2 linked regions of the Danio rerio genome follow. The protein of the gene in region 1 purifies or fractionates together with the protein of each later gene. This does not show direct contact. Links are inferred from orthologs where the notes say so. Each region holds a gene or a part of one and is shown in the gene's direction. Other genes may lie near its edges.

Region 1 (4,585 bases):
TATTAGGTACATATCAACTTTTATGATGACATTTTGTACATTTCCTTTTCATATATATATATATATATATATATATATATATATATATATATATATATATATATATATATATATATATATATCCAAAAAATTGTAATAGTAATTAATGTGCATTGCTAAGAACTTAATCTGAACAACTTTAAAGGCGAATTTCTCTACATTTTGAACTCTCACATTCCAGATATTCAAATACTTGTATCTCAAATATTTTCTTATCCTAATAATCCATACATCAATGAAAAGCTACTCAGACATATTAATCTCAATTTCCAAAAATGTACACTTTTTTTGTGATCCACAGTCACATATACATTTTTTTTGCAATCATATAATATCTGCAAAATTATTACGAGTGAACATACCTGTTGTCGTTCAGTTTCTGTAATATTAATGATGAAAAACATCTTATTCGTCCCGAGATGTGATTAGGAAAAGATCACTGGCGCCCTCTGCTGGCTACAAGGAATATTAGCACTGTGCATGATAAACACGTCTGGGCTCTTTTTTACTGGAATATATGTTGTTCGTATTCATAAAAATAAATAAAATGAAGCTTTCTGTGTACAACTACATGAGACATAAAAAAAAAAAGTTTATGGTAAGAATAGTCAACAGATTGAGGTGTGTAGTTAAAATTACAGAACCAATGAACTTAAAACTTTAATGTTCAAATTTAACACATTTTTCACGACACAGTAAGGTGAACGTGCGACTTCCTATTCATTAGCCAGTAATTGTGCTACAAAAACGAAAAGCGCTGCTTTTCCTTATGAAAATAAAGTTGGATTACATACCAAAACTAAATGTGTTTAACTGAAGTTATCTATATTTCCATCAGTTCTCCATTACAGACCCTCACCCTACACAAATTCCCGCCTAAACTCCATTAAGGCTGCGTCACATTTATAAATTAATTTTAATGTATAAATTTAACTACATTTGGTTTAAATTTATCAACTAAAAATATCGTTGTTTTTTTTTTGTTTATGAATATATAAACTAAATAAAAGTATAAACTAAAACGTATAAAATATAAAGCTAAACTTAGTTTAAATTTAGCCTTAAATGTTGTATATTCCCATATTACACCACGTTGGTGACGCATGGACAGATTTAGTTTTTTTTCCACAGTAAATTAATTGATATGTATCATTTAAACATTTTTGTTTTCCACCATTTCGTTTTGTTTGTTTTTTGAATACTTATAAATTTAGTATATATAAACTTATATATGATATCAATATTTATATATTACTGTAACCTAATTCAACCAGCGTCGCAGTGAAGTAGCCATAGATATTTACATATTTATATACATTTATATATCTATGTAAAGTAGCCCTCACGCGCTTTTCATTTGACAGCTGCTGATGACGTCATCATCTGTTTTGCTCTGCACACCGGAAGTACTGCCGTGACATCACGGAGAAACTCAACTGGCGTTCAAAAATCAAAACATCCCGAAACGTCCTCGTCGTTTTCATATTAATATTCATCATTTTCATCGAGTGACTGCAGTCATTAAACAGCTTGTTTTCGCCGTCAGACCTTTTCTGGTAAGTGCAACGAGTGTTGCAGAAATCACACACACACAACATCACACACAAACTCACAACATTTACTGTACTAGTTTATATAACGACCACACACTGCTGTCAGCTAAACAAAACATATCCATCAGTCTTTGTTATCGTTACTTTCTGCGAATGTTACTTTAATTCACTGGAGGACTAAACGCAGGCCAGTGTTTACATCGAAACATGATGAATGCCTAAAATGTGAAAGTAAAAGTAAAAAGGCCTAATGGCAATAAAAAACGCGGTTCTTTTGAGACAATTAATTATAAATTAACATTATGATTAACATTTCTTTGTGAGACAGTCATGACTTCGGTTTTGAGATAAAGTAGTATTTTTTAAACACACATTTTTTTTTAAACAGTGACAACTTACGACACGTTTTCCATATTGTTTACCACGCTAACGTTTACTTTCAATATTTAGTGAGAGCATGCAAGAAAGTATGACTTAGATAAACACTATTTACAGTTTTTTTCAATTATTCTCACATAATTTTGAAAACCGGGTTCTTTTTTCAAAGTATAATCACAATTATTCAAACAGCACACTCAATTTGGAGAATTCCTAGATTGTTTGCAAAATGACACACTTCAGTCAAAACATACACACTTCAGTCAAAACATATATGGCTGATTCCAGCGTTATGGATGTGACATTTGCAGTAAAAAAAAATTAAACGTATATACTCAGAGAAGGTATATGTTAACAGAATATTGAAATATCTGTTTATATTTTTCTTCCCCCTTAACCATGGAGTTCAGGCATCAAAAAATATCAGTATATTCATTCATTTTCTTGTCGGCTTAGTCCCTTTATTAATCCAGGGGGGACCACAGCGGAATGAACTGCCAACTTATCCAGCAAATTTTTACGCAGCGGATGCCCTTCCAGCCGCAACCCATCTCTAGGAAACATCCACACACACACACTCATACACTAAGGACAATTTAGCCTACCCAATTCACCTGTACTGCATATGTTTTGACTGTGGGGGAAACTGGAGCACCCGGAGGAAACCCACGCAAAGGCAGGGATAACATGCAAACTCCACACAGAAACACCAACTGAGCCGAGGTTCGAACCAGCGACTCAGCGACCTTTTTGCTGTGAGGCGACAGCACTACCTACTGCGCCACTGCCTCGCCCCAGTCTATTCAGGTGTTTTATATTTAAAATGACGGCAAAATGAATGCGTTACGGATGTGATAAAAGAAAGACATGAGTTTTGTGAGTTGACATACTTTGTGGAAATTCTGTGAATAAAAATGCACTTTTATTTATATATGTAGGATATAATAAGGATATATAAAGGATTAAAATATTACAAACCATATTATTTTCTAGCCTACGTGAATTTAAAAACCACTGCCTTCATACTTTCTTCATCTCGGCGGCTTTTTCAGTTCATTCAATTTGCTTTTGTATAATGTTATTATTATTAGCAGTATTTATTATATGCATGTTTATATTTGTTTTATTAAAAACAAGCTTAGATTTGTGCACCTGTCAAGTTTTAGACCATATGGGGCACAGCATGTGTATTTGGATGTAACTCAGGTTTTTGAGCACACTTGGTTATTATTGTTCCTTTATTCGTTTGCTGGAAATTAGAACTGAATTTAGAAATAGTTTTGAAACAAAGCTTTGTGCTTAACAAACAAAATTAATTATAGGCTTATTGATGTCTGTGCATACAAGTTTTCCCTATCCACGAGAGCGAAAGTGAAACTAGAGTTTGAGATGCCTTATCTCTCATTCTCGCACTGTAGATGCTCTGTTTTACTGTTTTCTTGCTAGTGAAATGCTCAGTTTTTCCACTTACACGTACTTTACGCTATGAAAATAGAAAATGCGCTCATGGCGTGACGCAGCTGGCTTTTAAAGGGAATGGAAGATGAGACTCTGATTGGTTTATTCTCAAAACACACCTATAACTCATTAAGAAAATAAACTCAACCCTTTTAGACGTTGCGCCACGGCGCAAAGTGGATTTTTCTGTCCTTATATTAGCAAAAGTGGATTCTGACACGCCCTGAAAGCGTTTGCACCCTGTGTTTTGCGCTTTGCGCATGGACCGTCAAAATAGAGCCCATAGTGTGTAATGTTGTGCAAATCTGTGGCAGTGTTTTTCTCCTTGGAGTAGAATTTTGCAATTGTGTGGATATTTTTATTTAGAGTGTAAACAATCGTAAAAAAACTGCGAATATAAAACCAACTTTACCTCAGTGACTTTGTTTACTGTTCATGACAGTATGTATGTATGGTATGTATGTATGGTAGTGTTAAATTGAGGTAAAGTTGCTTATACATTCACGCATTCAGACTTTCTCCTTAATATAATTTTCAGAAAAGTATTCTTTGCAAATTCTAAATAGTGAAATCATATCAGAAGCCATTGACTAATATTGTGCAACATTGTTTACCGTCAAATAAATAGTGCTAATATTTTTTTGATGTCATAATTACATGTGATTTCAGGCCGAATATTCAAAGTACCATGTCCACCTGTCAAGTTTTAGACCATATGGGGCACAGCATGTGTATTTGGATATAACTCAGGTTTTTGAGCACACTTCGTTATTATTGTTCGTTTATTTGTTTGCTGGAAATTAGAACTGAATTTAGAAATAGTTTTGAAACAAAGCTTTGCGCTTAACAAACAAAATTAATTATAGGCTTATTGATGTCTGTGCATACAAGTTTTCCCTATCCACGAGAGCGAAAGTGAAACTAGAGTTTGAGATGCCTTATCTCTCATTCTCGCACTGTAGATGCTCTGTTTTACTGTTTTCTTGCTAGTGAAATGCTCAGTTTTTCCACTTACACGTACTTTACGTTATGTAAATAGAAAATTCGCTCATGGCGTGACGCAGCTGGCTTTTAAAGGGAATGGAAGATGAGACTCTGATTGGTTTATTCTCAAAACACACCTAAAACTCATTAAGAAAATAAACTCAACCCTTTTA
Region 2 (3,729 bases), on another chromosome or scaffold:
AAACGAAGATTTTTCAGGACCACACTCGAAACCAAGAGGTAGGAAAAAATTTCCAGAATACACTAGCTCCAACTGCACCCGGAAATAAGGAGATCTTTTTTTGTTATTATTATGAATTTTTACAACAAACAAACACATGTTTTAATATATTCATAACTGCGTTCGTGTTTTACAGTCATGCTTTTTTTTTTTTTTTTTTAAAACGCTTAAATAAAAAACGTTAAATTTTGCGATCTATAATCCCTAATAATAACTTCTGCACAGCAGTCCCACAACAGTCTGACACTCAATGACACTCAATGACACTCAATGACACTCAATGACACTGGAATACCCTGTCAGAAAAGTCCAGTGACTGGGAATGTACTTTTTACAGTGTCTGCTATAATGTTAATGTTGTTTTTGATGTGTTTACATTAATGAATATGGCCACGGTGTAAATGCACAGTACTGTTACGATCTTATTGCCACATTAGATCATTATGATAACATAATACATGGCTTCAGTGATTTCCTGAAGATAAATACCAAAAAAAAAAAAAAACACAACGGGAATCACTACAGTAGTCGCCATCATCTGAACTCATATGAAGCAAGAGATTGCGAGGACATATGATGACGTGTGCAGGTGATGTAGTGCTGTCCCAATTCTTAGGGGTAAATTTTAAAGCCCTTCCCCTTAACCCTCGGTTGCAAGGACTAAGGGGAAGGGGTAGGGGTACAAAAACAGAATTGGGGTTTGGCCTTACACTTGTGAAATAGAGAAAGGAATTCATCCATGAACTGTGTACTGTAAAGTTCCTGTCAAGCTTTTACAAGGTCCCAGTTCTTTCTACAGTGTTTGTGTGCAGGGCCGAGGGTTTCAGTTTTCCAGGTCTGCATGCAACAAATGGGCGGGGCTTGAGTTCCATATCGACGTCATGCCGACACAGCTAAAGATTCGTTACCCTCGCGATTTATTTGAACCACTCTGAGTTGACTCTTTTATAGAGGAATCAATAGTTTTAAACACGGTGTACTTTCAGGTTTAAGCCTTAGCTGGATATTTCACTTCACTTAACACACACTTCACTTTACACACTGCATGGAAGGTCATTTTTAAAAACTCATTATAGGGGCTCTTTAATCTCATAACATTGTAGTAAGTTTCTTGGGATGTATTTTTATAACTTATGATAATAAATAGCATCTAAATTAAAACAAAGATATTTTTTGCTTTATAGTGGGGCTGCCATCAGGCAACATTTTATCCTTACCAAAGATGTTTTTGGACCCCAGGAGACCAGAGGTGGTCTCAGAACAGAGTCGGTAAGTTTTCAGCTAATGTTTATCATGTTGGAAATCTGAAAAATGTCAAGCATATATTTAGTTTAATTATTTACAAATTGATTCTCTGACCATTTTAGGGAGGAAAATCTTATACCATATGCTCCAGAAATGCCCATTCGTACAGAATGGTTCATTAACTACAACCAAACCGTATCAAGAGTAAGAGGCATCTATACTGCCCCATCTGGCCTGGAGTCAACCTGTTTGGTAGGAGTCACGGACTTCAATTGATCTCTTAACATCCATGCAGTTGTTATCACATGTAGTCACACTAAATAACTTCAATTTCACCTTCTAGGTGGTTGCATACGGCCTTGACATCTACCAGACTAGAGTGTTCCCTTCCAAACAATTTGATGTCCTTAAGGATGACTATGACTATGTCTTAATCAGCAGTGTCCTCCTCGGTCTCTTCTTTGCCACCATGATCAGCAAACGTCTAGCGGAAGTGAAACTGCTCAATAGGGCATGGCGATAAGACTCATCCTGATGGCCTGTTGACTTCACTCTCGCCTTCACTGCAATGTGGTCGACACATTGATGGCAGAAGACCAGCTGGTGACCATGTCAAAACCGCAAGATCATTTGACGAGTTTGGTATCTTTTTGCAACCAGCTGTCTTGGGGATCTTGTGGTGTTTTGAGTGTAAGTGCAAAGATGGCCATGATCGTTTTTTTTTCCCCTTTTCAGAGAGACATAATGATGTAGGTTTAGTTTTTACCCCCCTCAGCATTGAACAATTCACTGTCTAATTTGTTTATTTATTGTGCCTTTCGGGGTAACATTACTAATGTGATTTAAAGGTAGACTGACCAGGTATAACATAATAGCATTGTCGCATTTGATTCACTAAGTCTAGAGTCTGCCTTTCAAAAAGGTTGAAGGATAAATTCATGTATTAAAACTGAGGAGGAAATGCTGCAAAGGAACTGCCATTGTTATTTCAATTTATGAAAAGGTTGATTGATTGATTGATTGATTGATTGATTGATTGATTGATTGATTGATTGATTGATTGATTGATTTTGGGGTTTTAAGTTTAATTATTCAAGTTACTATGTATGAGCTGACCCTAATGAATATATTGGCTCATCTCATGTACAGGATTTGAATGGACAAACATTAATGCACATGAGAAATGTAAAATTTCAAGCTGTCAAAGGTTCTGCGTTTGAAGGAGTTTGGGTAGTTTTATTTGTACTTATTTTATGGTATGTCAAATGCACTGGATGGTTTGGAGCCATTTTCTTACTTGATATTTATGAGCAAGATCCCAATATGCCATATCATACATTTATTTTGACTCATACACGTTACAAATCCCTGTGATTTTATTATTGTGTAAAATGTTTCTACTCATTTGATTTTCATAAATAATGAGCCTGTTTATATACATACTTTTGAAAGTGTCCCCTCTGCTGCAGATTAATGATGTCAGAAGAATAAGTTTATTAATATTTGTAACAAAAGGGTAGGCATTCAGTTAAGTTGGTAACCTGATGATTTTTTAAAACATGCATAAATTATTTGTTCTTTTATCCCTAATCGATAATAAAGAATACACCCTTATTGTTGACCCCTGAATTGTTTAATTCTTTCTGGATGGTAAAGTTATAATCAGTAATCAATAGTAATCAGCAAAACATTTAGTTATAATTGACAACTATGTATGAACTAGAAAAAGTATGTACGAACTACTGCATGTAGCCTATAATCGATCTGATTTTGGACTATTTAAAAGAGACTGTCACCTAAAAATGTCAACTTGGTCATCTTATGTTGTTACAAACCTTTATGACTTCTATGTCATCTGTAAAACAGAACAATGTTGACAACCAATCATTTGCAACTATACCAACTTTTTAATTATTTAAAAGGGCAGTCAAAATGTAAGTTCTCCCTTTGTTTACCCCGATGTTGTCATTGTCCTAAACCTTCATGAGTTAGTTAATGTATGGAGCATACACACAAAGTTTGTTTTTTGAACAGCAGTTTTAATTTGTTGATTCCCAATATGTAGAATTAAAAAAAAAAGTATAATACACACTCTTTGGACAATTTTAAATATGAATATGATACAATTCTGTTAGCAGTGACTAATGCGATCCAAAACCTGTATAATTCCCTTTTTTTTTAGGACAAAACAGATGTTATTTTGAACAATATTGCTACCCAGTTTTAATTATATCTGACAATAATGACAAAAAAAAACATCATTACTAAAAATGAGAATGATTTTAAAGGGTGAATTTTAAAGGTAATCACATAAATCTAAATAAACAATACGCATTTCAAGCTTGTGTATGCAAACTGTCCACCACAATGTAAGAGTGGTACGAGCTAACATGATACAATGCACACACACATATTCTTATTAATAAGCTTAAGAGATTCAACATT

What was found.
Region 2: the proteins of klhl22 (region 1) and emc1 purify together in Homo sapiens (co-immunoprecipitation; 3 studies listed by BioGRID and IntAct, with this or other methods). This does not show direct contact. The link is inferred for Danio rerio from reciprocal best matches to the Homo sapiens genes KLHL22 and EMC1.

Annotation. Positions count from the first base shown.
Region 1 is NC_133183.1:61,543,199-61,547,783, forward strand, and holds the start of klhl22 (kelch-like protein 22), read left to right. Parts: upstream 1-1,463; 5' UTR 1,464-1,595; intron 1,596-4,585. UniProt on the Homo sapiens protein: Substrate-specific adapter of a BCR (BTB-CUL3-RBX1) E3 ubiquitin ligase complex required for chromosome alignment and localization of PLK1 at kinetochores.
Region 2 is NC_133198.1:24,184,902-24,188,630, forward strand, and holds the end of emc1 (ER membrane protein complex subunit 1), read left to right. Parts: intron 1-1,223; coding exon 1,224-1,308; intron 1,309-1,406; coding exon 1,407-1,536; intron 1,537-1,627; coding exon 1,628-1,807; 3' UTR 1,808-2,905; downstream 2,906-3,729. UniProt on the Homo sapiens protein: Part of the endoplasmic reticulum membrane protein complex (EMC) that enables the energy-independent insertion into endoplasmic reticulum membranes of newly synthesized membrane proteins.